Rattus norvegicus: one gene and its partner. The protein of the gene in region 1 purifies or fractionates together with the protein of each later gene. This does not show direct contact. Links are inferred from orthologs where the notes say so. Each region holds a gene or a part of one and is shown in the gene's direction. Other genes may lie near its edges.

Region 1 (15,003 bases):
GATAAGTAATTAAAAGGAACAGGGCCAGTCTTTACATACTGTAGCTAGAATGAGATATTTATCACAGGTTGCACCCCTCCATTACGGTTTATATGATCTGACTTCTGGACCCTCTCTCAGGAGAAACTTCCTCAGGAGTGTTTAAGGCAGAAAAAACAAGAGTCAAGGTTGTAGAATCAACACAGAGAGTCCCTCAGCAAATGCTGGCTGAGGCACTGTGCACCGTTAACCAGGCTGTGCACCAAGCACACTACAGACCCAGCCTGCTTCTGTAGACACTGCGCTCAGCAGTCTACAGTGACTGTCCCACAGGAATACAAGACAGCAGTGTGTGTGTGTGTGTGTGTGTGTGTGTGTGTGTGTGTGTGTGTGTGTGTAGCAAGCTTAAAATAAACTTTCATCTATAAGGTCAAAGGCTTTTAGTTTCATTTTAAACAGAATGATCATAACTTAATTCAAATTGATTACTTATGACCAAAATGCCCGGTGATAGGAGTCAACTGGATATCACAAATGTGTGTCCCTTCTGCTTTTGTTTTGTTTAAGATAGGGTCTTGCCATGTAGCCCTGGCTGGCCTGGAGCTTGCTGTGTAGACCAGGCTGCCCTCCAGATCACAGAGATCCACCTGCCATGTGCCCCTGTGTGCCACGGGTTTCTGGATAGATGAAGTGTTGATGACATTCCGAAAATGTAAACTCCAAAGCTGGTTATTCGTGAGCATTTCAAAACGCAGATGTGTCCGGTAACAAAAAGCAGAAGGGAGTTTCAGACTCCATGAAACTTGCCAAATCCCCAGTACTACAAGAGACTTAGAAGGCAATCATATCCTCTCCTGTGTGGAGTGGTGTCACTGTTAGCCATCATGCCAACCACCTTTGACTGCAAACTACTGTCCCTAGATTGCAAGAGTCCCTAGGCTCTAGGGAAAAGAGACAGCTGAAGGCCAGAGAAGCTGACTTGAAGTGGAAACAGTTTCTAATTCTCCTTGCAGCTGGCTGTTCTAGAACATTCCATGAACTGAAGACTTCCCCGAATCTACTTGAACTCCCCCTCCCCCCGACTCTTCACTCAGCAGTATAACCCTGAGGGAAGTCAGGATGAGCGTCTCTAAGGAAGGGAAGCTATGCTTTCCATGTAGAAATGACTGAAGAACTGTCCCCTTGCCTTGATGTGACCATCTGATCACATGTCAGTTTTCATGCTGAACCTTCTGAAGCTGTGTGAAGCATCCCCAAAATGCGGGAGGTCCTCTTGTTCCTTTCCTGCTCCCAATAACTGGACCAGGAGAGAGTGATGTCTGAAGTGCCTGGATCCTGCTGTCATGCCCCAGGTGACACTCTTGGGCTCTTGGCAGGGACTGACTGCTGGCCTTAATTGTCTTTATTTCTAACTCTGGTGGCAACCAACAGCTTTGCTTTGACAACTCCTCCAGCCAACACTGTTGTCCTGGCCCACACATCATTCCTATTTACCCTAAATAAGGAAAAACAAAAGCTATTCTCGGCAGAGTGCAGGGCCTGCGGCTGGGGTTATTTGCAGTGTGACCAGGGCACTTGGCCCTTCTCACTGTGGCTGCCAGGTGATTTTTTTCTTCTTCTTCTTCTTCTTCTTCTTAAAACTGTAACAGACGTGCAGCCATCCACAAAGCCTCTCCACACAGCCTCGAGACATCAGGATGCATAAGAAAGGTTTTAAGGACGTTTGAAAACCACTGTCTAGACCTCAAGAGAAAAGGGGCTTCTTGTACAAAAGGAAGAGCGCTCCTGAGATAGGTCTTGGCTTTCCTGTGTGAATGGCTCCTTTGTATCACTTGGGGTTATTTTTCTGTAATTTTAGAACTGCTTGAACTAAAACTGCATAGTAAAATCGAGAGTTCTGTTTTTATAGGCTTCTCTCTGTGCTGTGTTTGTGCTTCTAAGCCAGGAGAGCTTGCTAAGGGAGAATTTGAATCTGAGAATAGGAGCACTTCTCCTTGTGGTAAGGCATTGGGAGCTGTGGATGCTGGGAGAGCTGGTGTAAGCTGTCGGGACTTGGTGGGGAGGAGGATTCAGAACGATAGCCTGTAGTGGGGCCTCCAGAAGGTGCTGGCAGCTGGATACCCAAGGCTGATGTTTTTGCTTGCCCTGTTACCCTCAGTAAGCTCACATTTTAAGTCCTCAACTCTGAAAGCTTCCAGCAGAGAGGAAAGAAAAAGATACTATGTTGAGATTTTCAGACGCTTCTTTCTTCTGAAGAGTCTGTTTCACCATTTGCCTGTTATATATATATATATATATATATATATATATATATATATATATGGATTAGCGAATGTACTAGAATAAGGCGAATTGTCTAGCTGCATTCTGCTTGCCTGTGTATGTGACATGTTGGGATGTGACATGTCTGGATGTGACCTGTCTGGGTGTGAGGCCAAACCCAGAGAAATGCAGACTAATCACTGATATATGTTGTCGTCAACAACACTGAGTGCTCTTGGGATTGGAGGCGCTTGGGCTTACTGTCTGTGACATCGCCAGCTTCCTGCCACAGACCTCCTGATTTCTGTTGATGGCAGTTGATAATTGGTAGTCATAGTCTGTGGTTGGAGCCACAGACTTTGAGTCTAGCACCTGGGCTGGGCCCCTGCTGATAGAGTAGAAAAAGACTTAAGAACTCCCTCTACCACACACAGTTCTCTCTCTCTCTCTCTCTCTCTCTCTCTCTCTCTCTCTCTCTCTCTCCACACACACACACACACACACACACACACACACACACACACACACACACACCAGCTATAACTACAGCTCTCAGCTGCCTGGAGAAGAGATTGGCTGAAGCTGAAGAATGGTTTGAACTGGGTGGGCTGTGCCACAGTTGGAGTCCCTTGCAAAGGACTTGATTATGTCCATCGACCAGCCAAGCAACAGCTCACTGAAGGAGGTTCAATTTAAAGACCTGTTCTTTAAAAAAGGTACATTTGCAAAAGGGTAGCTGTGAGTGATGCAGGGTCTATGGGGGGCTCTCTCTCTCTCTCTCTTTCTGTGTGTGTGTGTGTGTGTGTGTGTGTGTGTGTGTGTGTGTGTGTGTGTGTGTTTTCCCTTGGAGTTTGGTCTGAGCAGAGCTAAGCAGAACAGTTAAGTCCTTCATAGGACTTTTTTCCCTCAAACCTGGCAATCGTGGTGTAGCCCATGAAACTGAGAGGTGGAGGCAGGAGGATCAGAAGGTTTTTCCTCAGCTACATAGTGAGTCGAGTGAGTTGGAGGCCAGCCTAGGATGCAGAAGACCCCACCTCAAGGAAAAAAAAAGTTTCTTTTGCCTCAGAGAAGTCTGTTGGCTCTGACAGGTGGGATCTTAAGGGTGCTTTTCCCATCTTCTTTGGTTTGCAATTACTTTGTTACTGTTGGGGGAGATGAGTGTGTGTGTGTGTGTGTGTGTGTGTGTGTGTGAGAATATATATATAATACATATTTCACCCCCCTTCATATGCCCTAAAAATTTTCCTCTTTGACTGATAGTGAGTTGCTGAAGATAACATTTGGAAGAAAAGAAAAAAAATGTATCTCTTTTAATGCGATTGGATTGTTGACTAGTTTTTTTTGGGGGGGTTATCCAGGTAATAAGAGATAATGGGAAACAGAAGTGGACCCCAAGAGCGATGGGGAGCTAGAGTGGAAGGCAAGCAGGCTGCCAGCCAGCACGGGCTTAGGAGCACACACTTGTAACCGTGGCTAAGACAGTTACATGTGCAGCCGTATATCTACTGACACCTTCTTAATTTATAATGTGGAGGTGAGGTGAGGGTGGATTTTAAATGACTCCTATAAGGGAGGAATATGATTTTAGGTACTTTTAGTTCCCATTTATAGTAAGGGCAGGGGATGGATTTTTTTTAAAAAGGTTTCTAACTCTTATATTTTTACTCCCCCGCTGCTTTGTTTTGTTTCTGTATTTAAAGAAAAAGTTGTCAGTCATCTTGGATTGCAACTTTTTTTTCCCCTGAAGAGATCAAGATAATCTAGGTTGTGATGTATGTAAAGAAAAGGAGCTGTGCTAGGTAGGAGCTCTGGCCTTTGATGCTACTTTGCACAGAGTCTGTGTTCTGGGGATTCCTTACTCAAATCCCTGCCTTCTGCTCCCAGCCTACCTGTGCCTTGGCAGGTGCCTGGTTGGGACTGAAGGTGGAGGGATGTGTCCTGTTATCCTGGATCACAGGATACCACTTCCAATCTTGTGATGCAAACTGCCTGTGTGCATACAGGGATATAATGGGGATATATAAGCTGATACCTTAGAGCAACCATGAGCCTTCTTCTCTGGTGACGATCTGTGCTGGGTTCTTGGTGCAAAATGTGAAAATCTCTGGCAAAATGTTAGCGTTATTAAAGTTGTTGGTGAGTGTTTGCCAGAATATGGTTCCATGAGAGATGCCGTACAAACAAATTAGCCAACAGAAGTTCCTGCTTTGGACCTGATCACCTTGTATGCAATATGCAACAATCTGTAAGCTACGGGGGACAAGATAGATAGCCCAGGGCATGGTGTATGAGAGAAGGTCAGAGGGCAAACCTTAAAAAGGAGTGTCAGTACAGAATGGGACCCGTGCATATAGGAAGCAGCGTAAAGGTCAGGAGCCTGTTATCAACGGGTCAGTGAAGAATTTATAATGAAAGATACAGCCAGCAGTTGCAAAAACTTGGCCACCTTTGTAGTTCTGTCTTTAATTTCTCCCTTTGGTTGTTTGCCATTAAAAGATAAATCGGAGTAACCGACTGACCACAAAGGAACATGAAATTTTAAAAATGTAATCTAATCATGAGCTAGAGGAGCCCTCATTGTTTTGCCACCTGAACTTCCAGCTGTAAAGTCATTTTTGTCACAGAGCCTGAATGTCGCCCCTCGACTGTGGTGTTTAATGAGTGTGAATTTTTGTTCAACCATTCAAATTGTCAAGAGTATTTTTATACTAATAGTTCCCAAGCTCAAGGCAATTATAGGCTAAATAGATTCCAATTCCTGCCCCATCCACCTTCCTGCCACCGTGCTGTAGGTTCTAGGATTTTGGAAAGAATTTAGACTATAGGAACATCCGCCATCTACAGGTGTCCTAGAACCATGCAAGTCATCCACCCCTGTGGCTGTCATCATATCAGTACACCTGTTTCTGCTGAGCAGGACAGACACAAGAAGAAATATAGACACAAGATCATTGCACAGAAACTGAACAAGACCAGTCCAATGGGAAAAGTTGTCCTCTGTGCCTCGAACCATGGCAGGGAGTTAGAAAGGCTTGCTGGGAAGGAGTTTGCTGCCAAGAGGGTGGGATTCTGTGGCAGGCCGGTTGTCTTGTTCCAGGCTCTGCGTCCCCAGATTGAGCAGGAAGGAAAGTAAACTAGAGGGGCTGCTGTTGGTAAGAATGGGAGTCGAATCACTCAGAGATCTGTGAGGAGTGGCTAGTCCTGGCAGTGACGTAAGTGTTTATCATGGCCGCTTTCCCACATGCTGCCAAGGCGTCTGTTTTGCTGGTGAAAGGAAGGGCTCACCACAGAGCCCACGCCGTGTTCTTCCATTATAGGATGTCTGTGAGGGAATATGTCACACACCTGGAACTTAAAACTAATTAAACATTTAGAGACCTTGGTTTCAGCAGATGAGGATGTATTTCACCAAAGAGAGGCTGAATGGAAGACGGTGCTAGCCATCCCACAAATAGAAGTGAGTGTTATATTAGGAACCCAAGGGTAGTACAAACACATCTCCCCAGAGTTCATTAAAAATAGTCCAGACATTCACGCCTCCAGTATGATTCAGTGCAGGGCCCCATTGGACCAAGGAACCGACTAGCATACTCCAAACAGACTGTTCCCGCAGTCCCCCCCCGTACAGCTTAGAATTTCTTGAAGTTGTCACCATACAGATACAGATGTCGTCATCACTGTCGTCATCGACACTGTTTTTACGATAATAAACCAAAGCACAGTAATCCCTTCCTGTAAGCTTTGAATTCATTACTGAATCTCTGGTGTTTGGGTGGCAATGAGTCACACACTGCACCTTGAACTACAGTCCCATAAAAGGAACAGGAGCTTGGGAAACTGGTTTAACCTCCAGTCCTTTACTTGTGTGGCCTTGCTTCTGTTGATACCCATAACTGTTGAGACTGAGGGAGACCTGACCAGGGGGCTGTGCTCAGAATCCATAGTGGGTTAAATGAAAAAAAAATGGCAACCTTAAAAGTATCCTATTACCTTTCAAAATGCTGCCACTCCTGTGGGCTTAAGAAGTATTCCCATCTCAATATTTCTTTCAAAATTTCATTCTCTTCTCAGCGTCCCTTTCCTAACTGACCCCTTGGAAGCAAAACCAAAAACATCTTCTGGAGGCATGCTTGCTGGGCTTCCTTACATCATACCCTTCTGATCCCCCACCACATAAAGAAAAGCTGTGCAGAATTGGGGCAGAGGCTCCTGTTTAAAGTAATGGCATGACTGCCGTGTAGGGGAGGGGGAGAGGGAGAGTGGAGCTTGGAGGGAGGGAAGGTGCAGAGGGCACCAGAGAAAGGGCTTTCTACAGAGCAGGACCCTGAGCTTTGCTCATCCCTGGGGACCACCCCCCCCCTTTAATGGTTTTCACTTTGGTTTCCCCTAGCACTGAGTATTTTTAATCTTCATATTTTCCCAGTTTTAGTTTTCTTGCAACTTAAATGGGAAAAGTGATCTGTCCTCATTGACTATTTTGCCCCAAGTTCAAAGAGTAGGTAGACTTTACAATATTTTAATTTGATGTTATCTCACGCTCGCATATGTATGATGGAGTTGTCTGTGTCAGCATGCTTGCACCACGACAGACATATGGAGGTCAGAAGACAACTTTGAGGGGTCATTTCTTTCTTCCGGGGACTAAGCTCAGGTAGCCGGGCTTTGGTTGAACCTTCTCTCCCACCCTAGCCTGTTCCTAGGGTGTTGTGGTATGGGTCCTAAACCTAGAGGCCCTGATGTAAACTGGGTGGGGCTCTAAGATCCAGACACATCCTTGCTGCCAGTCACGACTTGTTAAGATTCTGGCCTTAGGGACCGGGCACCCTGGATTTCGTTCTTGTCTGCTAGAAGAGCTGCCTTCCATGCCTGGCCTAAGTGGCTCAGATTCTCAATCAGTCTCCTATTGCCCCAGGGTGCCCCTGGGTATTACTGTTAGGGTGATTGCCTTAGCCCATGTCCCACTTCCATGGAACCTATTTATGCTTCGAAAGCCCTTGGGTAAACCTGTTATCCCATCCTACTGCATGTGTCTCAGTTCCCTGACACTTTGGTACCTGTGGACTCCTGATGTTGCTGGGAAGCTTTGGTGCCTTAGATGTCCCTGCCAGGGCTCTGAGCTCATGTTTGAAACCCCAGGGCAAGCTGTGTGCAGCTGCAGACAGCTCAGCAGGGGCAGGGCACTCCAGTGAGTTTATAGGGCAGCTTTCCAGGAGAGCTTGGGATGGAGGCTGACACACTGGTCTTCACGAAAAGGGAGAAGGTGGGACTCTTTCTTCCAAAGGACACATTGCTATGCACTGTCTGTGATGGAGATCTTGCTCACCCTGGCTTAGGTTTTGAAGTAATTGCATTATTAGGTCATTCCATTCGGTCGTTTCATTTGGAACACCCTGCGCTGTCTTGGGCCCAGGGTATAAAATGCAACATAAATAAAAATCTAAACATGGAAGAACAAAGTAAAAGTTTTTCAAGGGAAAGAAAAGTTTGGGGAATGTTAGCTGCAAAGAAAAAAACTGAGAGGATCATTGGTACCATTAAAAAAATATATATATGTGTGTGTGTGTGTATATGTATATATATGTGTGTGTGTATGTGTATATATGTGTATATATGTGTATATGTGTATATATGTATATATATGTATATATATGTATATATATATATATCATCTGTAGAGAAACTTCCAGAAGAATTTACAGAAATAAGAGACAAGGAGAAAGTGTTTGCAACACATGGAACAAAATCTTGTAGCCATGAAATATAAATATTTCTCATAAGTGCATCAGAAATTCATGAAAAAAAAACTACAAATAGACTAATGCAAATTAATTATAAGAAAGAGAAGCATAAATTACCCTTAAGTCCAGAAAAAGATCAGAAATTGCCGGCAATTGGGGGAGCCGCAATACCAAATCAAAATAAATAGACGTAAAGTAAGGTTTGCTTTTGATGCTTGATTCACACAGGGCCTTGCTGTAGTAGAGGAGGCTGGCCTTGACTCGGTCCGCCTTGCCCTCTCCCAGGCTGAGCAGGTTTGTACCCGGTTTGGTTATCTTGCCCGGCAACATGCACAGGTTTGCCTATTAAATGGGTGTGAGTGGCAAGGTGCTGGAGAGCTGGCTCATCCGTTAGGAACGTGTGCTCTTGCAGAGGACCAAAGGGCACCCAAGTCTTATAGCTCACAGCCACCTGTAGATCAGCTCCAGCGTATCCAGTGCCCTCTTCTGACTTCCGCAGGCTCCCAAACTCACAGGCACACAACCACATGGTCACATACACATAATTCTCTTAATTAAATATTGAAAAAAAGAAAAGGGCAAGTTTCCAGAGTCTAGGGTGTAGGCAACAAGCTTTTCATAAAGTGGTTCTCACACCACATTGTTAAATGGTCGTCCATTTTAAGGAACTGACAAGTTTGTGCCGGCACTCACATATACACATAGCATCCCTTTCCTTCTCCTTACCAACCCCCCCAATAATTTGGTCATAATTAAGAGGAGGCAGTATTTATTTAGTAGACATACTAACCAGACCAACTTCCCCACCAGGATGGCATGGAGTGGTTACAGTCAGGGAGGGCTGCCGAGCTTCGGCCGCATTAGACTTCTTTCTTCTATAATATTTAAGCCTTCAGTCTTTTGAAGGATTTTAAACACTTCTGTAATAAGATCATTTTCAGAGAGAATTCATCCACCCAGAGAGGCTTATGGAATTGCAAAAACACAACTTGGTTTTCTTTGCTGCGTTCTCACAGGCTTCCGTACTGAGGAAAATGTAGCGTAGAAAGAGCCGTCAAGTGAAGGGTTAACCAAGGGTCCTTGTGGCTGTCTCCTGGTTGTAATCCCTTTCTTTCTGCTCAGGGTCTGATAAGCAACTCCATCTTTTGACAAAAGGAAACACACTGGTAAACTTGAGGGCATGCTTTAATCTGAAGGGCAGTTTGTGACAACTCCGTTGTTTGAGAGAGAATTGCTTAAGATCCCACCTTCATTTCTAAGCTCACGTTGGCCTGAACAGACCGAACTTCCTGCCTTACATATTGTGTATGGAGGTGGCTGTCCTTGGGTTTTTGACTGGATGTGTGGCATGGATTCCCAGGACCCTACAGGTGCTCTCATTGTTCCCTCTGCACCCGCAGCCAGTAGAGGTCTGTCTTACCCGTTATGGCTGGCCTCAGGGAGTCATGACCCTTGGAGTTGTGGGCATGAACACCTTCTCTGGGCCTGAGTATGTTCCTGAGTCAGTCTTTGTTCTTCCTATTCCTGTTTACCTACCTGCCGGGCACCACCATGTGCTAGACGCTGAGAACGCAACGTAAGCCACAGCATTCTTGTAGTCATAGTATCATGAGAAACACTGACTGTATGTACACTCTGCTCAATATGGTGGCCGGAATGCTGAATCAGGGAGGGACTCTGGGCATGCATATACATGGCATATTAATGACCCATTCGTCACGTTAGTGTTGGAACTGGGAACCTTACCACTCAATCACTGAGCCTATAGGATGGGGATATGCTTTCTAAGTCACTTACAAAGGCATAGCGCCCCCCCCCCGAAACAGAGGCAGAAGCTGGCCTGTTTATATTTGTTTTCTCTCTAATGCACAGCTCCTGTGAGTGGCACTCTTGAGAAAGTTGGCTCAACCAGAGAAGACGAGTTCATTTTCTGGAGAGGTTATGTAGGTGTGGTAGTGGGGGCAGCCTCAGTTCAGAGTGGAGAGATGGTGGGTGTTGTCTGACAGGAAGGGAATTGAAGAAACAGTCTGAGCTGTCCTGAGGTTGGCCCAGTGTGAACGGGTGCCAATTCAACAGCTGCCTGTGGTGAGCTCACAGGGCTGACCTTGAACTCCACTATGTCAGTGAGGAAAGTTGCAGCCAAAACCCTGGCGGTCTGGTAGACCGGGCCAGCAAAACATTTCCTTAAAGCCTTAAGCTTGAAGATCAGGTCTTTGAACTTCACCAAGCTGAGCAGCAGAGATCTGTGGGACAGGGCACTCCCAGAACCTCCCTTTTGTCTAAAAAGTTACAATACCAGAGCCCTGCGTGTGATCCACAGTATCTGCAGGCAGAGTTCAAGCCCAGCCATGCACCACTTTTACAATTGCCTTTTCTTCTCCTCCAAAATGGAGCCATAGCTTCTGTCTTCCCTCGAGGGGTATCTAGGAGGGGTCATGACTGCCCGAAGTTACGGGAACCATAGTCAGGAAAATGGCCGCTGTTCACAATCCTCCTCCTCCTTCCTTGCAGCGGAACTGGAGTTCGCGCAGGTCCTCATCATTGTCGTGGTGGTGACGGTGATGGTGGTGGTCGTCGTCTGCCTACTGAACCACTACAAAGTCTCCACACGTTCCTTCATCAACCGCCCCAACCAGAGCCAGAGACAGGAGGACGGGCTGCAGCCGGTAAGTGTATGGGCCTGCGCCATCTGGAATGCCCCTGGGCTCCATTCTGGGGTTGCAAACCCAGACAGGGTATAGTAAAGGCTAGAGGGTGGGATAGTCCGCCTGTCGCTGGTCGGCTCACTGAGGTACTGAGGTAATGCTGCGGTGTTAGCGGTTTGGGTTGACGGTTAACCTGGAAAGGTGTGCTCATTGTGTGCACACATTGTGTGTGTGCACACAGCTCAGTGACCTCTCACGTACAGCCAGGGTCCAGCCAGGAAAGTGACTTAACGCCCTCCAACAGCTGGCTCAGGTCTTTCATGTGTGAAAGTCTCCGCTGCCTGATTATTGGCCATCAGCCCTAATTAGTTTTGCTAGGCGTGGCCTCCACACCCATGCTTTCTCTCCTGTGTCTGGTTTCATTCGGGCAGCACCACGTTGTATATAGAGATCTTTGCTTGGATCAGGTCCTGGAGTTGGTCCAGGGATAAGTAATGTCCTCATACATTAGCAGATATGGCTGCAACTCTCGGATGTGAACCAGCTGGAGGGGACAGTGGGATGCGTGCCTCCTTAGATGGAACAGGGTGAACCGGGCGGGTGGGGTGGCACAAGCCATCCCGTGAGGCGCCTCAGTCCGTGCTCTTTAGAACTTTCTATCTCTTGCCCTCAACTTCTTGCCTCTCCTCGTAAAACAATGTGATGTATGGCTAAGCCATAACCAAGCCTGGGAGGCCAGGGGCTGCTGGGACATCATGTTCTCCACCTATTTTGTAATCTGTTCATAAATCCTGGTGGCTTTTAGCAAGAGACTTGGAAATAGTGCACTTAGCTGAGTTTAGATTCTTAATGTCGGTGTAGGACACAGGAGCATCTAGTTTTCCTCTTCCACCCTTTTCTGGGTAGTGGGAGAGACATTCTTTGTAGAATGCCCTTTATGAGAGACCAGGGATTCCTGGTCACTTCCTAAGGGAGGTCTGACTTAGGAGAGGCTGTTGTGAGTATGGGGTATGACCATCGTAATGGGCAGTGTGGACCTGTGCCTGGGACAGCTCTAAATAGGGCAGCATCTTGCTTGCCCGGGGAGCCTAATGGCTTGGGGGTTCTTGGGGGCAGAGGTAAGCACAACAGAGAACAGGAAGGGTGTGTGTGTGTGTGTGTGTGTGTGTGTGTGTGTGTGTGTGTGTGTGTGTATGTGTGTGCGTGCATCTGTGTGTGTACGTGCGTGTGCCTGTGTGTGTGTGTGTGTGTGTGTGTGTGTGTGTGTGCTGTATTCACCTCACAGTCTGGGACAGTGGTGGCAGACAGAATTTGACCTAACAGTTCCACTTCCTGTGAGCTTCCTCATTTTCTCTTGCTGCCTTCCTCAGTCTCTTCTGGTCCCCAGTTTTGCTAACCAGTTCCTCTGGTCCTCCTTGACATCTTTATATACCACAATGAAACTCTGGGTATCCCCTGGTATCCACCTCGGCACTACGGATCACTGTCCTCTGGTACCCACACTTTCCATCCTGACACTACGGATTCTTGAGGCAGCTCAGATCTCTGAAGAGAGAACAAATCCAAAGTCCTGAGCTCAAAGAAAGAAGACGAGGAAACTCTCATTACAGCAGCCATTATAGGGCCACACAGGGTCTTTGCTTTAATATAACTGTTGTGGATACCAGCCACTCCTTGGCAGATGTGGTACAACTCTTACATCACCACCAAACAATAGGCCGATGCACTCAGGTATGTATGGATTACCAGAAATACTTCAGCCTGGGTGTTAGCTCTACTCCCTGAGTAAGACTTAGCAGTTTCTAGCTCTAAAATGTCCCATCTTCCCATCTTGCACTTTGTGCTCCAGGAGTCCCTAGACACTCAGGGTGTCTTGCCTTGAAGGCCCCTCCCTTGGTCTTCTTCTTGCACTTGCCTAGACTGAGGGTATCCACAGCCTCTGAGTGAATCTGTGTCTCCCTGGTGCAGCCCCAGCCCCATGCTCTCCTGCTGTCACTGCCTTTAAGCTTTGTGTCCTGGCCATATGTCCTGTGTTTACTAACCAAGAGGTATAGCAGGAAGACAACTTGACTGGGGCAAGAAACAAAGTTCTTGTGTGGTTTTACCTGATGGTCTACCCAGTGCTGCTCTCTGTGGGAGCATGGGGACCATGAGCCAGGAAGTGGTAGCACGCTGACTGGCAGGAATGTGGGAAGTTGACTTTGAGAGGTCCTTCTAGGATGTATACTGAGTAGGAACGAAGACGGTCAGTAATTGGTGGGTTTTATCTACCGAGGGGGCTCTGTGAGTGGAGGTAAGCTGTGTGCTGAGATCTGGGTTCTACTCCAAGGTGTAGCCAGGAGACAGGCATGCCTTTAGTCCCTGTGTTTATAAAGTGACCATGAGAAGAGTGTGGGCGTTCACTCCTGAGCTACCGTGAAACTTCAGTTTTCTCTGGTGACCCACAGCTGAGTCCCGTTCATCCCCAGGGCTTCTTTCCCTGTCAACCACACCTGTAGATATCACCCAGCTGAGGGCTAGGCTCTGAGGGAATGTCTCATAACATTCAAGGTGTGTTTCCACACTGTAACCAGGGTGCTTCTGTCTTAGACTGGGGTTCTGCTTTCTCAGTTGGACTATCAGCATGGCTCATGGTTCTAACAGGAGAGATAAAGTAGATAAAGAGGAAACAGACCTTCCTTTTCTCCTTACACACCTGAGTTTCTGTCCTTTCTACCCCACCCCTAACTCCTTCCTTGGATTGTTGCTTCTCTGCGGGGGCTGAAAAAACAGATCACTTCTTATCCATCTGACTCTCAGCTAGCGGACATCCTAGAGAGGCTGAGATGGTGTTCCAGCCGAGGACATCGTGCTACACACATTGTCTGATCTTCCTACAGTGTGCTTCAGGGGCTCTACAACGGGCAACCCAGAGAAACAGACTCTTGTGCTGAGTACCTGTCTAAGCACACTGTCGCCAAGCCCACCAGCTCATGAGCACACCATCTCCTGGCTGCTTTGGTGTGCCCACAAAGAGAAGGGCACACTTCTCTTGTATCACCCAGGACATAGCCATTGGGGGACTCTGCCTGCAGACACTTTCCCTAGCCATTTCCATCTACCTCTGCCCCCCTCATTCTTCCCTAGACCTCATCATAGCCAAGATAGCAAAGTGACCATGCAAGAGCAGCCAGCTGTCATCCTTGGCTAAGGTCCAGGCTCTTTTACCACCCTCTTGATCATACTGGGGATGCTTAAACCAATCCCATCCCCATGTTTATGAACTGCGCACGAGAACCCATTGTCTCCTCTACTCCCATGACTGGCCAGTCTGGACAGCTTCTAGTTGGCTTTTCCAGGTTGCCTCCTTTGGCCTCTCAATATGGAAGTCTGTGTTCACCGTCTTCCTGCCAAGAGCTAGCAAAAGCCTGGCAGTCACATCATAGAGAAGAAGATACTCTGCTTTTGGTCCCCTCACTTGACCAGGTTGCCCCTGGATGGGATGTTGACTTGAGGAACTTGGGACAGAGTGAGGATGGATGTGTATGTCCACTTGCCTCTGCCTTGTGCTACCATATCTGTTATCCAAACCCTGTTCCTAGATCCTGAAGCACCCTTGTTTAGTGAGCGCCCACAGCCCCAGGATCACCTCTCTTGGCAGTGTGAGCAGCAAGTACCTCAAACACCCTGCTACTTGGCAGCACGAAGGTGCAGAATGTTCCTGCCAACCTTTCAGTGGGGAACCTCTCATTGTTCTGAGACTGAGTGTCACAGAGACAGTGTTCCAGGTCTTTCGCCTCTGTATTGCAGACCCATGTGGGATCTTTACTGGGATTATGATGCTGTGTTCATCTTAAAAGGTTGAGAACGTGTGAGGAGCCTCTCTTCTCATGAGCGGGCATTCGCTTTGATCCAAAGGAAAAGCCAGGGTGAATTGCTGACCTTCTTAGATTGAACTGTAAGTTTTCCAGCCTAGTGTCAGTCGTCGGAGAGGAAATCCTAGACTAAGGAATTGTCTAGATCAGATTGGTCAGATTGGTCTGTGGGGGTTGTCTTGATTATTAACTGATGCAGGAGGACCCAAAGTGGGAGGACCCATGATGAGTGGTACCATTCCTAGGCAGATGGTCTGGGGATATATAAGAACGTTAACCGAGCATGAGTATGAGAGAACCAGCAATGGTATTCCACCATGCTTCAGGCTCCTAGCTGAGTCCCTGCCCTAACACTTCCCTCAGGGATGGATTGTGACTTGGAAGTATATGGTAAATAACTCCTTTTCTTCCCTGCATTGCTTTTGGTCAGAGTGGGTTTTTCTTTTCTTTAGCCACCCCCCCCCCCTTTTAACAGCAGCAGAAATCAAACTAGAAAATGCAGAGAACAGGATCTCAAAAACTTGA
Region 2 (15,483 bases), on another chromosome or scaffold:
GGCTGCCAGCAGAAGGTGTGGCCCAGACTGAAGGTGTATCTTTTGGCCTCAAGACCTGATTAAAGGCCTGTGTCCTGCTTCAAGATCCTGATCACAGATGTGCGCCTCCATTTCTGGACTGTAGTTCCTTCCAGACATAGTCAAGTTGGCAACCAGGAATAGCCATTGCATGGAGGTAGTGTCATGTGTGTAACAGAGAACTGAATGGACAGGACCTTTTGCATCAACTGAAAGCCACCTCACCTTCTCTGATGGTGAGACATAGAGTTACAGATACCCGGCAAAGTCTTGGTGTCTCACCCTTTGTCAGATAATATCTATCTCCTAGCTGAGAGCTTTACCTCCAATCAAAAGATACAGTGGGACTATCTCTCCTACTGAAAACAAAGATTCATAGGGGTAGGGACAGAAACCAACCCCCTAGGACTGGCCCAACACCAGGTTCCTATAATTAACTGTTCGACTAACCAGTTCAGCTACCCCTAAGCAAATTAAACAATAGCCAGTGGTTCTGGAAACAAAAAGGGAAATTGCAGTCTCTCCTGGCTTGGAGACAGGCATCCTGGTGCTCTGTTAGTCATCCTGGAACATACCTCCTCTGCTTATGAAGAAACCTGGGACCTCTGATTCTCATGAGTCTGATTCTTCCAGAGGAAAAGGTATACATTCTCTTGGATCTGAACCACACATTCTTCAGCCTCCCATTGGTGAGGTGAGTCAACTCATCTTTGCTTTTAAATGGACGGATTCAGAGAGAGGTTACAGTAGCTAACTTACATGGACTAGGTTGCTCCAAAGATTTAAAAATTCCCTGTTTGATGAGGCAATAAATGCTGACATCCTGCCTTTCTGTCAGAGGTTTCTCAGGAAAACAGGTTATAAAAGGGCCACTGAGGGACTGTACAGACCTTGGGCTATAAAATGTCAGCTAAGAAAGCCACACTTTGTATATCAGAGGCTACCTATCTTAGCTACCAGCTGAGGAGAGGCAAAGGAGTCTGTCTCAGAGTAGGATTTCGGCCATCCTTCCTTCAGATCCCATTAGAGACAGACTGGAGAGTTCAGCTAAGTATTGCTGTCTCTGAATACAAGCTTGTGGAAATAGCAAGGACTCTACACCAGCACAAATGTAGGCACTGAGCCCCTGATATGGACTGAGACTAAGCCAGAGTATTTGCAGTTTAAAAACAGCTCCGACTTCAGCCTTAGCACTTCCGGGTGTCTCAAAACCTTGTCATCTGTCATCTGTTTGTCCAGGAAATGAAAGACAAGAAGGATTTTAACCCAAACTTTGGGGTTGTGGGAACCCTGTGACAAACCTGTTGAACAACTGGACCCTGTAGCTGTGGCAGCTACTGCTACTGCTAGTTACAAACAAGTTAACTCTGGGTCAGGATCTTTATAACCCCCAGGTCCCATGTGACTGAGACCCTCCTCTGAGGAACACCAGAATGCTGGCTGTCTAAAGCCTGTGTGGGCCCTACTCCTGGCCTACCCTCAAGTGAGAATCCAAGGCCATCAATTCGACTACCCTCTTGCCTGATAATGAAGGTAATTGTCCGTGACTGTCACAAGATGAAAGATGAACCAGGTATAAGAGAGCTGTACTTGAACTGACATGATTTTGGCCCAAGCCAAGGACTTCAGCCGAGAGAACAGAACTGATTGCTCTGACCCAGGCTCTCACATGGTGTAAAGAAAGTTTGCTATCATATACATGGACCGTCACAATGCTTTTACTGCTGGGCATTCCACAGTATGATCTATAGCGAAAGAGGATCTTCTCACTGCTGGATGAAAAAGGACATTGGAAAATCTTGGCCCTCCTAGAGATTTTTTGGCTTTCCCTATGAATTGCTGGCCTCCACTGCCAGCTGTTGGCCATCCAACAAATGGTCCTAAGACCAGTGGGGCCTATTGCCTCCATAATAAAGAAGAAATGGATGGCTCAAACCTATAGGCAGGTGGAGGACACCAAAGGGAAAGATCATTCTTCCAGAAACAACTGGCAGGACTCTGGTAATTGACCTTCACAAGGCTACTCATCTGGAGTAGCCTGACAAAACTTTCTGTGTTGCTCAGACAGCCTGGCACAAGATGTCTCAGCCAGATGCCAGACTTGTGCTCAATTAATCCAAAACAGAGATCCCTTATTCAGAAAGGGTTCTGAATGAGACGTCAACACCCCGGCAAACTCTGGGAGAATTGACTTCACTGAGATCGAGCTACCAGGGGAGGATACAAGTCCTTTTCAGATGGATAGACGCATTCCTCACCCAGAATGAAATTGCTCAAATAGCAGGTAAAAACCCCTCCAGGAACTGGCCCCTTGATTTAGCCTCCCCTAGCAATGGGGTCTGACAATGGTCTGGCTTTCAGAGCCCAAAACCTTTCAACTAATAATCAGAAATAGATAGAGAACTTCATTGTGCACATAGACATGGTCAAGGTCCGACCCCCACTGCCTTCGTGCCTGCTTCTGGGAACTGAAAAAGGCAGATACAGGAGAGGTGATGTCTAAAGTGGCTACAGGCCAGCAAGCCATATTCCGTTTTGTTCACTTCCTGATGCCCATTTTAAAAGTCTGGTTGAACTGGAGAGAGAAAAGATATGGGAATTTATCTTTTGAGATAGGAATATAGAGTTTACAATTCCATGCAAGCCCTGTGGCCTGGCCCTCTGGTTGCCTGGAACAAGGGAGTTTCCATTGCAAAAATTAGAGTTGTGAAACTTAGACTTCCTGAAAAATCCCTTAAGGAAGATTCTGGCCTTTGGAAAACAGAGGAAACCAGGGCAATCAATACCACAGGAAGGGATCCTAGGATAGAGTTCATCATCCCCAGCCAGAAATCAGACTGTCAGCCCATTGACTGATAAAAGTGTGACTTGGATATACTTCTCAGGAGATAAAGGAAACTATGTATGGCTTTGGGGGACACCTGTCATTTTTATGCTAATTGATCAAGAGTAATTAGGAAAAAGTCTTGTCATGGTAGAGGAAAACTTCAAAAAGAAAAACAGACAATGACATAAATCAAATAATACCAGTCTTGGGCTGCAGAGATGGCTCGGAGGTTAAGAGCACTGACTGCTCTTCCAGAGGTTCTGAGTTCAATTCCCAGTAACCACATGGTGGCTCACAATCATCTGTAATGAGATCTGATGCCCTCTTCTGGTGTGCATGAAGACAGCTACAGTGTACTCATAAAATAAACAAATCTTTTTTTTTCTTTTTTAAACAAATCTTAAAAAAAAAAAAAAGTCTGTTTTCTTGGTCCCCTGGCTAACTACTCTGCTGTCAGCACTGGATGGACCTCTAATTCTCATTCTGATTGGCTGAATGATAGGCCAGTTATCTATCAGTGTATCCCGTTCAGTAAAATTAATGGTCCTTAGGACCAACTATGCTTTTTATGTTTTGAAACACCTTTTCTATGTAGCTCTGGCTGTCCTGGAACTTGCTCTGTAGACCAGGCTGGCCTTCAACTCACAAAGATAACTGGCTTCTGCTTTCTGAGTGCTGGGAGTAAAGGTGCACTTCACTTCCTGGCCCACTTCTCCCTCTTTAGTCCATAATTTGACTCACTCGCTAAGAGCTGACTCCATGGTGGGAGTCCACTCAGGCCATAAAACTCAGCACACAGACAGCATCAGCTGCCAAAGTGAAAACAAAGACCTAATCCACCCAAGTCCATGTGTCTGGGAGTCTCTAAATGTGCTAACCTTGCCTTTTGGCTTCTGTAGTTCTGCTTCTGACTCTTTCTGCTAACTGGAGTATGTCAACCCAGAACATGAGTTTTGCATTTAAAACCTTGGCCTGTGAAAGGCTCGATACTACACAGGGCTCCTGAACACCTAGTGTCGTCACAGAGTGGCTAATAAAGACTTCCTTTTGGTAGATACGCCTCAGCAAAGGCTCCTGACACTCAGCTGGTACACAGTATACATGCCAGCGAAACATCTATAGAATAAAATGTAATAAAAATTTAATATGGGGGTTGGGGATTTAGCTCAGTGGTAGAGCGCTTGCCTAGCAAGCGCAAGGCCCTGGGTTCGGTCCCCAGCTCCGAAAAAAAAAAAAAAAGAAAAGAAAAGAAAAAAAAATTTAATATTTCAGTTAACAAAACCAAACCCAACAAAAAGCCAGGTGGTATGGCACCTATCTGTAAGCTGAACAATCAACTGGGAGGTGAATGCCAGCCTAGGTTACAAACTCTGCCTCCACTGGTCTCCTCTCTCACCCCCGCCTCCCGCCCCAATGGTATAAGCTGGTAATCCTAACTACTCAGAGGTTGAGGTAATGGAATTAAAAGTTCGAGGTTAGTTGGAGCACTTGAAACAAGACCGTTCCAAAGAAAAACCAGAAAGTTAGCAAAATGGCTGGGAACACAGGTCAGTTTTAACGCCCTTGACTAGTTCTGTGCAGACAGTTAGATTCGACTGTCAATCTTGCAAAACCCAGAAAGTTTCTGCTGTCCAGGCTGTGGTGAGGTACGCCTACAATGCCAGGAATTAGGAGGCCAAGGACAGCATTGGGTTCCAGGTCAGCCAGGGTTACATAGACTCCCTGTTTGCTAATTCATAAGGTTCAGTTTACTGCATATACGGAGATAATGGGAGTTGATTCCCCATGGGGGCACTTATGGACTCGAGAAAAGTTTTGAAGGGATGTCATGTCGTCTGTGTCCTGTCCCGTGCCCCACTCCCATCCCCCTTCCCAGTTTTGTTTTTTGGAACAATAGCAGATAACTTACAAAGGCCAGGGTATTTATACTTCCAGAACTGAGAACAAGGCCTTGCACATAGTTGGCACCGGCTGTCAAAATTACACGAGATGCTTAAGGTTTTGACCAGCGTACATCTATGGTGTCAATACATTCTTTGCAAATTTGGGGACATGCTTATAGTGACACGGTTTATCTGACATTCAAATGTAAGGAGCGTACTGGTTTTTATCCAGCAACCCCTACAAGATTTGCCGACTTAACTGACCGGATGATCTTCTCCCACCTGTACTATGGGGAAAAAACAATTCTACCTGCTTCCAAAGGAATAAATAAAGCCCCTGGTACCGGTGAACCCTCATTTTATACGCCCGCTCCAGCATAGCCCTGGTGGTCCTTTCACTCCGGCCCTCACCGGGTCAAATGCTCACAGCCCGGCTCTAGGTGGTCCGCACCTGCGCGCCCCGGCCAGCCTCTTCCGGGTCAGGTGACCGCGCGCGCCCACGTGACCCGGTCTGAGTGCGGGCGCTGGAAGGCGGAAGTGGAGCGGAGTTAGGCGCCGCTGGTGTGGCCGCGGCAGGTAGGTTGCGCGGGCACTGGGGGCTCGGCAGCGAGCGGGTGGCGCGGGACAGCCAGGGGCGGCGGGCGGCGCGAGGGGCCGGGGGCGGCGCGGGGCGGGCGCCGGGGGGCGGCGGCTTCCTGTGGGAGGGGCCTGGCGCGCGGTTCCGGCCTCCGAGGAGGGGTGTCCCGACTCGCGCCCGGGCGGGGTGGGCGCGGGGCCCGGCGGGAGTCGCCCGTTGCTGGCGTTTCCGGAAGGGGACCCCAGCCTGGGCGCCTGCGGTGTGGAGGAGCCGCGTCTGTGAAGGGGGGCCGACTTCGGCCGGGGAGACTCGCATGCTCCCCGGAAGGGGCTGCCTGGGAGTGGGCGTCTGGCTAGTAGAGACTGGAAGAAAAATCTGGACGTTGCGGCCTGGACCCCATTCTGAGAGTCTCTTCCTTCCGTCCTCTTTGAAGATGATGGCGACCCGAGACTTTGATACCGGTCCTGTTTAGTTTTTAAACTTCAGGAGGGATCCCTGAGTCTTGGTAGTCTGACTCTGGTCACACCCACTTTGCCCTGTTTGGGTAGGGTTTCCACTTGTTGGGAGCTTAGCCCTTCCTATCATCTTTCTTTGAGATGCTCCCAGATCGGGTCATCTTCGAGGCAAAAATAAAAAAAAAAAAATTAAAGACGTGTAGGTGCTTTGCTGTGATCATAACAAGACTTTTAACCTACACTGTTGTCAGCAGCGACATGGACCAGCGTTACCGCAGCAATGCATTGACTGCTGAAGTCTTGGACCGTTGAAAGTCTTCCCATATCGCTTTGATACGTTTCCTCTAAAGCTTAAATTATGCAGCTTCCTTTACTGTGTGACTGCTTATCTTGACCAGCTGTGACTAGGTGGGGTGACTGAGAAGTTTCTGTTGTGTTCCTTAGAACTGTGACCTAGATCTTAGTTTTTGAGGCTAAAATACCCATCTTAAGATTCTTAGTCCTCTAGGCTGAGTCCTGAAGATGGCCTCAAGTTCCAGGCCAGCCTGGGCTAACCAGTAAGACCTGAATAAACAAACATCCTCTTTCCCCTTCACATTTGCTAAGGTTTGCAGAAGTGAAATGAAGTTTATGAGTGCAACGAAGGTGTCAGGGTTCAAATGGTACAGTGACAAGAACCAGAATCAAAGGTCGCTGGGGGGAAAAACATTAATACATTAGGGGTTGAAGACTTGGGGATATATTACAAGCATTTAAAAGTTAATTTTTGTAGCAGTCTCGAGAAGTCATTCCCACTTCATAGATAACAAACTGAGAGAGTTGACTTAAAATAAAAGATGTAATTTTGGGGCTGGGAATTTAGCTCAGTGGTAGAGCGCTTACCTAGGAAGCGCAAGGCCCTGGGTTCGGTCCCCAGCTCCGAAAAAAAGAACCAAAAAAAAAAAAAAATGTAATTTTGTTTGTGTGTGTGTGTTCCTGTGTGTATGAGCTCACTGAGGCCAGATGAGAGCGTTGGGTCCCTTGGAGCTAGGGATATAGGTGGTTGTGAGCCTCTGGGTTTGCATGCTGGGAACTGAACTTTGGTCCTGTGGAAGAGCTATAGGTGCTCTTACCTGTATCTCGTTAGTCCCAACCTGACACTTCATTTTGTTTTTCTTCCTTGTTTATTGTCTTCTTCCTGCTAGGACTGTAAATCATTCAAGGGCTGTGATCCAATATTACATGACTTCTTTGGCTACTAGCTCTGTGTTAGGAGTACTTGGTCAGTGTTTGAGAAATAAATGAGGTTTTAAAGGTCACACTGCTTGCTGTATGTAGTGAACAAAGGGTTTGAACATAAGTTTTCTGTCACTTTCTCTGTTCAGTGTTATTGGTCTATGGGAAAACCATGAGGAAAAGGCTTCAATTGGCTTGTCTGTCTCTTTTACTTTTTTTTTTTTTTTTTTTTTTTTTTTTTTTGGTTTTTGTTGAACATTGTACCTTACCACTGAGCTCCATAGCCCTTCTTTTTTGTAATTTTTATTTTTTCCTTTTGAGACAGGATCTCAGTAAGTTGTCTGGTGTGATTTCAAATTCCCGTAGCTCAGGCAAGCCTTGATCTTGTGATCCTTTTGCCTTCGTCTCCACAGTAGTTGGGATTTGAGGCCTGTACCACTCAGGCCATATTAGTCTTTCACTTAATGACTATGTCTCCATCTGCAAAGAACTGATACCAGATTCTCATTTAATTTAATTTAATTTTATTTTTTTGGTTATTTATTTGAGACAAAGTTTTACTGTGTAGACCTGGCTGGCCTAGAACTCATGAAGATCCACCTGCTTCTGCCTCCCAAGTGCTGAAATTAAAACTGTACTATTAACTGTGCTCAACCAACCTCCCCTCCCCTTCCCCTCCCTCTCTCCCTCCCTTCCTTCCTTCCTTCCTTTCTCTTTTTTTTTTTCCCCTTTTCTTTTTTTCGGAGCTGGGGACCGAACCCAGGGTCTTGCACTTGCTAGGCAAGCGCTCTACCACTGAACTAAATCCCCAACCCCCCCTTTCTCTCTTTTGAGACAGGGTCAAACTGTGATTTTTTTGGCTTTTTGATAGAAGGTAAGTTATAGCTCAGGCTGGCCTCAAACTGGTTATGTTGCCGAGGAACTTAGGATAGATTCTCTTGTCTCTCCCTTTCAAGAGTTAGGGTCCAGGCCTTCACTCACCATTGCGCCTGGCCCAGTGTCTCATTCAATGCCAGCTCTATGAAGGTTGCATTGCTTCATTCGAGGATGAAGAAACTGAGGCTTGCTGAAGCCCTGATGTTGGATTCTAGAACTAGTGAACAAATGCAAGAGTTGGTTCTCTCCTACTATATGGATCCTGGGAATCGAGTTCCAGTTGTCAGGTGGTAGCAGATACCTTTACCTGATGAGCCACCTTTTCTACCACCTAGGTTTTTTATTTCTAGACATAGTATTTTTAGTTCATAGAAGCGATAAAAATTTCATCTTAAAATAGTTTTCAAATATAAAAAGTATGCTATTAGATTGGGTATAAGTGGCAAATATACCTGTAATCTGAGCACTTGGGAGGTAGAGGCAGGAGGATTGCTAGAAGTTCAAATGTTCAGGTATAATGTGGGTTACGAGAAGAAAAGGAAAGAAAAGACATGTAGATAAAACAGAAAAGGACTGGAGAGATGTCTCAGTGGTTAAGAGCACTGGCTGCTCTTCCAGAGGTCCTGAGTTCAAATCCCAGCAACCACATGGTGGCTCACAACCATCTGTAATGGGATCCGATGCTCTCTTCTGGTGTGTCTGAACACAGCTAGAGTATATTCACATACATGAAATAAATAAATCTTAAAAAAAAAAAAACAGAAAAGGGTCAGAGAAAAGATTGTAAATGTATAATGTAACCTATACTGCTGAGAAAACCCTGCCTGCTCTATACTTGTGTACAGCCTCAGTGCATTGCAGAGTGATTTATAAACTGTAGAAGTTTGTCTTGAGAGTGGAGGCTGGGAAGTCTGAGATGGAGGGTATGATGGTTTATATGTGCTTGACCCAGGGAATGGCACTATTAGGAGGTGGGGCCTTAGTAAGGTAGGCGTGTCAGTGTGGGCATGGGCTTTAAGACCCTCACCCTAGCTGCCCTGAAGTGAGTTTCACTAGCAGCCTTCAGATGAAGATGTAAACCTCTCAGCTCTGCGTGCACCATGCTGTCTGGATGCTGCCATGCTTCCACCTTGATGATACCGGACTGAATCTCTAAACCTGTAAGCCAGCCCCAATTAAATGTCTTTTTTTTTTTTAAAGAAATCGATTCTATGTATATAAGTACACTGTCGCTGTCTTCAGACACTCCAGAAGAGGGCATTGGATTCCATTACAGATGGCTGTGAGCCACCATGTGGTTGCTGGGATTTGAACTCAGGATCTCTGGAAGAGCAGCCAGTGCTCTTAACAGCTGAGCCATCTCTCCAGCGCCCCCAATTAAATGTCCTTTATAAGACTTGTCATGGTGTCTGTTCACAGCAGTAAACCCCTAATTAAGACAGAGGGTCTACTATTTTTTTTTTTTTTTGGTTCTTTTTTTCAGAGCTGGGGACCGAACCCAGGGCCTTGCGCTTCCTAGGCAAGCGCTCTACCACTGAGCTAAATCCCCAACCCCGAGGGTCTACTTTTGGAGGGCCTTCTTGCTAAGTCATTCCATCGTAGAATGCAAGAGAACAAGCATATGCATAGGACTAGGGCCCTGTCATGTGTTCTGTGAGCACCAGGCCTCTCGTGACCTAATCTCGTAAGGGTTCCTCCTCCCAACCCTGTTGCACTAGGGTAAAGTTTCCACAACATACACTTTGGGGACCTATTCAAACCATAGCTTCTGTCAGAGTTGTCTTTTCCTGGAAAATAGTCTTCCTCCGTAGATAGTTGTACACCCTTACTTTATTACAGGCATTGTTCTGGAGTCTTACTGTTCAGTATGGAGGCCACTGATCACATAGGCTGTCAAACCTTGGTACAGTCATGAATGTCAGATACATCAGAATTTGTAGAGTCAACATGAAAACTTCAATGTTGTGTTGATTTTTGTTTGCTTGGCTTTTTGTTTTTCCCATGGCAGGGTTTCTCTGTGTAGCTCTGGCTGCCCTGGAACTTACTCTTTAGATTGGGCAGGCCTCAAACTCACAGAGATCTTCCTGCTTTTGCCTCTGGAGTGCTGGGATTAAAGGCATGTGCCACTACTGCTGACTCCATCTGATGTTTTTATATTCTAGTAAAATCATATAAATGTAATCTATAAATATATGCTATGAATGGTAATGTTTTATATTTACTATGTTAAAGACAATATAATGAGTTTCAGCAAGGTGTATGTAGTGACACATACCTATAATCTTAGCACTGCTTTTTGGGGAGTTATGGGGGCAGGTCTCACACTTCGTCAGTGCTCAGACTTTCTGGAATTTATATTGTAGCTCAGGCTAGCTTTAAATTGATATTCCTTCTGCCTTAGCCTCCTGGGTGCCAGGATTACGGGTGTGCTGGCTCTTGTCTGAAGATCCCAAAGGGGAGAAGGCATAGAGCACAGGACTGAGTGTGGGTAGAGCAGTCCAGGCGAAGGGCTAAGCAAGATCAAATGGCTGGAAGGAGAAACACCTTGACAGGTTTGGGGACCAGCCAGGAACACAGTGTGGCTAGAGAAGGCCAAGTGAGTGTTGAGAATGAGTTCATAAGGGTTTGGGGTGTGAGAGGGAACATTGGGCAGGTCAGGGAAAGCCTTGTAGGCCTTTGTGTGAATGCTGGTTTTCACAGGATGAGTGAAGCATTTGAGCTGAGGAGTGGATACTGTCCTGCCTTTCAACAGGGATTGTTATGAGGAGGAGAAAGAGGAGCCAGGGTAGAGGCAAAAAGATGTATGAGGAGGGCGTTGTCACACAGGAAAACGCACTGGGACATACTCTGAAGCTCAGCCAGGAGGATCTGCGAATGAGGACTTGGGTATAGAATGTGAGAGGGAGAGAGCAGGCAAAGGTGACTCAAGGTTTGGATATGAACAGGGAGAAAATGGAGTTGTCGTTAAATGAGGGAAAAGAGCTGGAGATGTGGCCCAGTTGGTAGGGTATTTGTGTAGTGCGCATAAAGCCTGGGGTCTGATCCCCAGCACGGCATAAGTAGGCTGTGGTGGCACACATCTGTAATGCCAGCACTCAGGAGGCAGAGACTGGAGGAGGATTAGAGTTCAGTCAGGGTTATCATCCTGTGGAATCCAGCCTGGGTTACATAAGACCCTGTCTCAGTAAACAAAAGCATAGGGAGAGACTGGGGGGGAGCCAGGGCTTAGGTTCAGTTTTGTTCACATTGATTGTACAAGGCCTATTATGAACCAGGAGAAGATGCTGGGGCAGTTAGATGAGGAAGTCTGGTGGCGAACAGGAGCAGGAGATGTGTACATGGCAGCTGTTATTGTGTAGCCTGGAGTTGAGACTGGACTAGGTCACCCAGAGAGGAGTGTAAATATATGTCCAAGAAGAATGTTGCTGTTGAGCTTGAACTTGTAGAGTAAGTCTCCGTCAACACTGGGCCGTGTGTAAAGACCACCTAAGTACTGCAGGGAAGTTGGGTCTCTCTTTCATATAAAGATGACACCCCCCCCCCCCCCCCCCCGCCGCCAACACACATACACACTTTTTTCCTCCAAGACAGGGTCTCTCTCTCTTTGTATAACCCTGGCCATCCAGCTGGCTTTGAACTCAGAGATTCACCTGCCTCTGCTTCTAAAGTTCTGGTATTAACATTGTGTGCCACCCTCTCCTGGCTAAGACAAGGTCTTATTATGTAGCCCTGACTGTCCTAGAACTCACTATGTAGGCAAGGGTGACTTTGAACTCAAGGGATCTTCCTGCCTCTGCCTCACAAGTGCTAGTGTTAAAGAAAGGCCCTTCTGAAAACAAGCTGAGGGTTCTTTTGCTCTAGTTGAGAAGGCTGTTTTCCAATGGCTGTCTTGGAGTACGTCTGAAATCAGCCCAAGTGCCAGCTTCTGGGATTTCTGACTTTCTGGGTTGGCAATCAGTTTACGAGCCTCCAAGGATAGAAAGAGAATGGCAGGCAGGGCAGTAAATAGGTTTTTAAAGTTTAAAATACCAGCTTTACCAAGCCTGCTATCTTATAGATTTAACACAAATGGAACCTTGTAGTGGGTGGGTGTGGCGGTTTGAATAGGTTTGGCCCTCATAGTCTTAGGTGTTTGAATGTTTGGCCCCTGGGGAGTAGCACTATGTGGAGGTATGACCTTGTTACAGGAGGTTCGCCACTGTGGAGGTGGGGCTTTGAGGCCTTAAATGCTCAACCTATGCCCAATGTGAAACATAGCCAATCTCCTCCTGTCTGCCTATGGATCAAGATGTAGAAACTCTGGGCTCCTCCAGCACCATGTCTGCCTGAATGCTGCCATGTTTCCCGTCATGGTGATAATGAACTAAACCTCTGAAACTGTAAGCCAGCCCAGTTAAATGTTGCCATGGTCATGGTGTCTCTTCACAGCAATGGAACCCCTAACTAAGACAATGGGTGACCCTTAGATTCCAGTCTTGGTCTTGGGATCTGAAGTTTTCATTAGGAAGATAGTGGATTCATGAACATCAAGTCAGATTATGATCAGATTATGTCACACATGTGGAGGTCACAGGACAACTTTCAGGAGTTGCTCTTTGTTTCTATCATGTGGGATGGAATGCAGATCGTCACTGTTGCCAACAAACACCTTTTTGTTGGAGCCATCTCATCAGCCTGGCCCAGGTGAGCTTTTGACCTTCATAACTTAAGAGCTGACATCTTGTTCTCAGGGACGATTTTGTTCCTTCGATTCCAATTAGAATCTGTTTAGAAGGTTGTGAGATTCCTGTTCTCTTCACTCCCTTGGTTTAGAAACAGTGATTGGAGTGGTAATCCCTAGGCAATGCAGGACTCTTGACTCGGGGCGGGTCTCTTCCTTTGGTTACTCATGCATTCTCTATGGTGTTTGTCCTGAGAGCTGTTTTGCCATCTGTTACTATTAGCTGATAATTTCCCTCTATGAGTATTATTAGTTTTTGATCAGCTTGGTGCTTTCTAACTAGCTGGTATTCCACTGCACCGCTGCTGACATCATCTATGATGTCATAAGAACAGCCGCCATCCGCATGGCAGCCCACAGGCTGCACAACACCCAGGATCTCCTTAGTAGTTCCAGAAAGTTCTCTAGGTGAAGACTGGTGTCTCCTCTGTGGGGTGGTGTTGACAATAACATCAAAAGTGAGATTTCCACTGTGCTCGGTGATTTTTTGTTTGTTTTTTGTTTTTTCTTTTCTTTTTTCTGTCTCCTAGTGCCTTCTTAAAGATCAGGCAGAGGCAGAACGTGCAATCTCAGTTTGGTCTGTCTGCTCTGAGTGGTTGGTTTCACCCTCAGCCTCAGACCTTCCCATCCCCAGTTGTCCATCTTGGGAGCCAAGGCGATCTCACCTCCAGTATACCTCAGGTGAAACACTTTGGCCTCCTTAGGGTTAAACTTGGATTGTGTGGTGGAGGTAACTAGTGCTGCTAGCCTCTTTCCAGCAGAAAACTCCCTTCCGGTTTTTACATGCTGTTTGGTAAAGGTTTTGGAATGTGATTGCTTCTCACTTTGGGCCTCTGGTGAGTGGAAGACAGTTCAGTGCTGGATGCTGGAAAGAGGCCGGGAAAGAAGCGGGCATGTGTGTTGGAAAAATCTGGACAGGCTTGAGGGTGGGAAGGGAAGGAGAGATCTATGGGACAGACTGTTCACGTCTTTTAGAAGAGGATACAGAGCTGGTCTTTACTTACACATATGCCCTGCCTGTTTCTCTCTTGTTTAGGATGCAGATGCTAGGGTTGAACCCAGGCCTTGTACATATTAGGAAGCACAGTATTTCTGAACCCTGGTGTTGCCCCACCTCCTTTTTTTCTCCTAAGATGGTTTCAGTCAGATACTCAGACTGGCTTTGAACCCACTGTTGTAGTGTAGGCTGGCCCCTTCTGATTCTTCTGCCTCAGCCAGAGGTTACGACCTATACCACTAGGCCAGGCTAGCTCTGTCTCTCTTCTTCTTCCTGCACTTCTGCTTATTTCTGTGTGTATAGGTTGTTTTTAGGAAGTACAGAGTATTAAACCTAGTGCCAGACAAGTGCTTTGCTCCCACCTCTACCTTCCTAGTGCTGGGATTAAAGGAGTCTTCTTTTTTAATCTTTTTTTTTTTTTTTTTTTTTTTTTTTTTTTTGGTTCTTTTTTTCGGAGCTGGGGACCGAACGCAGGGCCTTGCGCTTCCTAGGCAAGCGCTCTACCACTGAGCTAAATCCCCAACCCCCTAATCTTTTTTTTTTTTTTTTTTTTAATTTTGAAACAGGTTCAATGTAGCCCAGACTGGCCTCAAATTTACTAGCCTTAAAATCCCGCTCCTTTCTTCCTCATTTCCTGAGTGCTGAACTTAAAGTATCTCTCTCTCTCTCTCTCTCTCTCTCTCTCTCTCTCTCTCTCTTAATTAATCCAGGTTGGCCTGGAACCTTGTTATAATACATAGCCAGGAATAACCCAGAACTTTGTCCTAGAAGCAGGAGGATCAGGAGTTCAAACTCATCCTCAATTCCATAAAGAGTTTGAGGACATTTTGTTAGAACCAAAAAGTAAAGTTAAAAGCAAAACAGAAGTAAAAACAAGTGGAGACTGCAGACTGACCCTGTGGCACAGTGTGCAGTGTGTAGAGAGGGGCAGGGCTTGCTTAGCACGGGTCAGGCCTGGCGTCCTTACATCATAAGCACGGAGAAGAAGAACAAGAAGCAGATGTGGAGGTCTGGCTCACTGAGTGCTTGCTCATCCAGAAGCCCCAAGTACAGGGTCCGCACGATGGCACACACTGCCTGCAATTCCAGTTCTAGGGCATCCACACCAGTGCACCTCTCTGGACAGCTACACGCACATAAGAACTCATGTAGGTGTGCACACAAGCAAATTAAAAATGAATAAATATTTAAAAACAAGCAAAGGAGGAGAGAAATCAGTGAATCAACTGGTTCTAACAACCCAGTGTCCACAACAGACAAACAGATGAGTAAAAGGTGTAGCTGTACAATGGGGCAACATTCAGCCACAAGAGGAAAGGTACGCATTACAGTGACCTGAAACAATGCTCTATTTAAGAGAGCAGTTATAAAGAAGACCACACACAGGTCACACGATTGCATTTGTATGCATTGTCTGGAGTAGGCAAATCCATTGTGACAATAGATTGACGTTGGCTGGGAGCTGGGGGTGGGGATGGGCTGGTCATTGACAGATAGGGTTTATTTGGAAGTAATGAAATGGTCTGGAATCAGAGGTGGTGCCAGCCCAGCTCCAAAGCTAATAAAACCCAGTACAATTATGTGCCTGAAAAGGATGAGTTTGGAGTGAGGGATGGAACGTAGTAGGTTCGAAGAAAGCCTTGGGATCTGTCTCCAGCTTCTTACAAACCAGGTTTGATGGTATGTGTCTGTCATCCAAGGCATTTCCTAAGGAGGTAGGGATCTGAAGTTCAAGGCTACATAGTAAGTTTGAACTGAATCTTGACTAAAGAGAATCTGTCTTTTATTTTCTCTTTCAAAACAGGGTCTCTCTGTGTCGCTCAGGCTGTCCTGGAATTTACTATATAGACCAGGCTGGCCTTGACCTCACAGAGGTCCACCTGCTTCTGTCTCCTGAGTGCTGGGATTCAAGGTG

The links.
Region 2: the proteins of Ldlrad4 (region 1) and Wwp2 purify together in Homo sapiens (affinity purification with mass spectrometry; 3 studies listed by BioGRID and IntAct, counting the BioPlex papers as one, with this or other methods). This does not show direct contact. The link is inferred for Rattus norvegicus from reciprocal best matches to the Homo sapiens genes LDLRAD4 and WWP2.

The regions. Positions count from the first base shown.
Region 1 is NC_086036.1:64,076,594-64,091,596, forward strand, and holds part of Ldlrad4 (low-density lipoprotein receptor class A domain-containing protein 4), read left to right. Parts: intron 1-2,421; exon of another isoform or gene 2,422-2,887; coding exon of another isoform or gene 2,888-2,957; intron 2,958-10,490; coding exon 10,491-10,645; intron 10,646-15,003. UniProt on the Homo sapiens protein: Functions as a negative regulator of TGF-beta signaling and thereby probably plays a role in cell proliferation, differentiation, apoptosis, motility, extracellular matrix production and immunosuppression.
Region 2 is NC_086037.1:52,251,324-52,266,806, forward strand, and holds the start of Wwp2 (NEDD4-like E3 ubiquitin-protein ligase WWP2), read left to right. Parts: upstream 1-5,239; 5' UTR 5,240-5,304; intron 5,305-15,483. UniProt on the Homo sapiens protein: E3 ubiquitin-protein ligase which accepts ubiquitin from an E2 ubiquitin-conjugating enzyme in the form of a thioester and then directly transfers the ubiquitin to targeted substrates.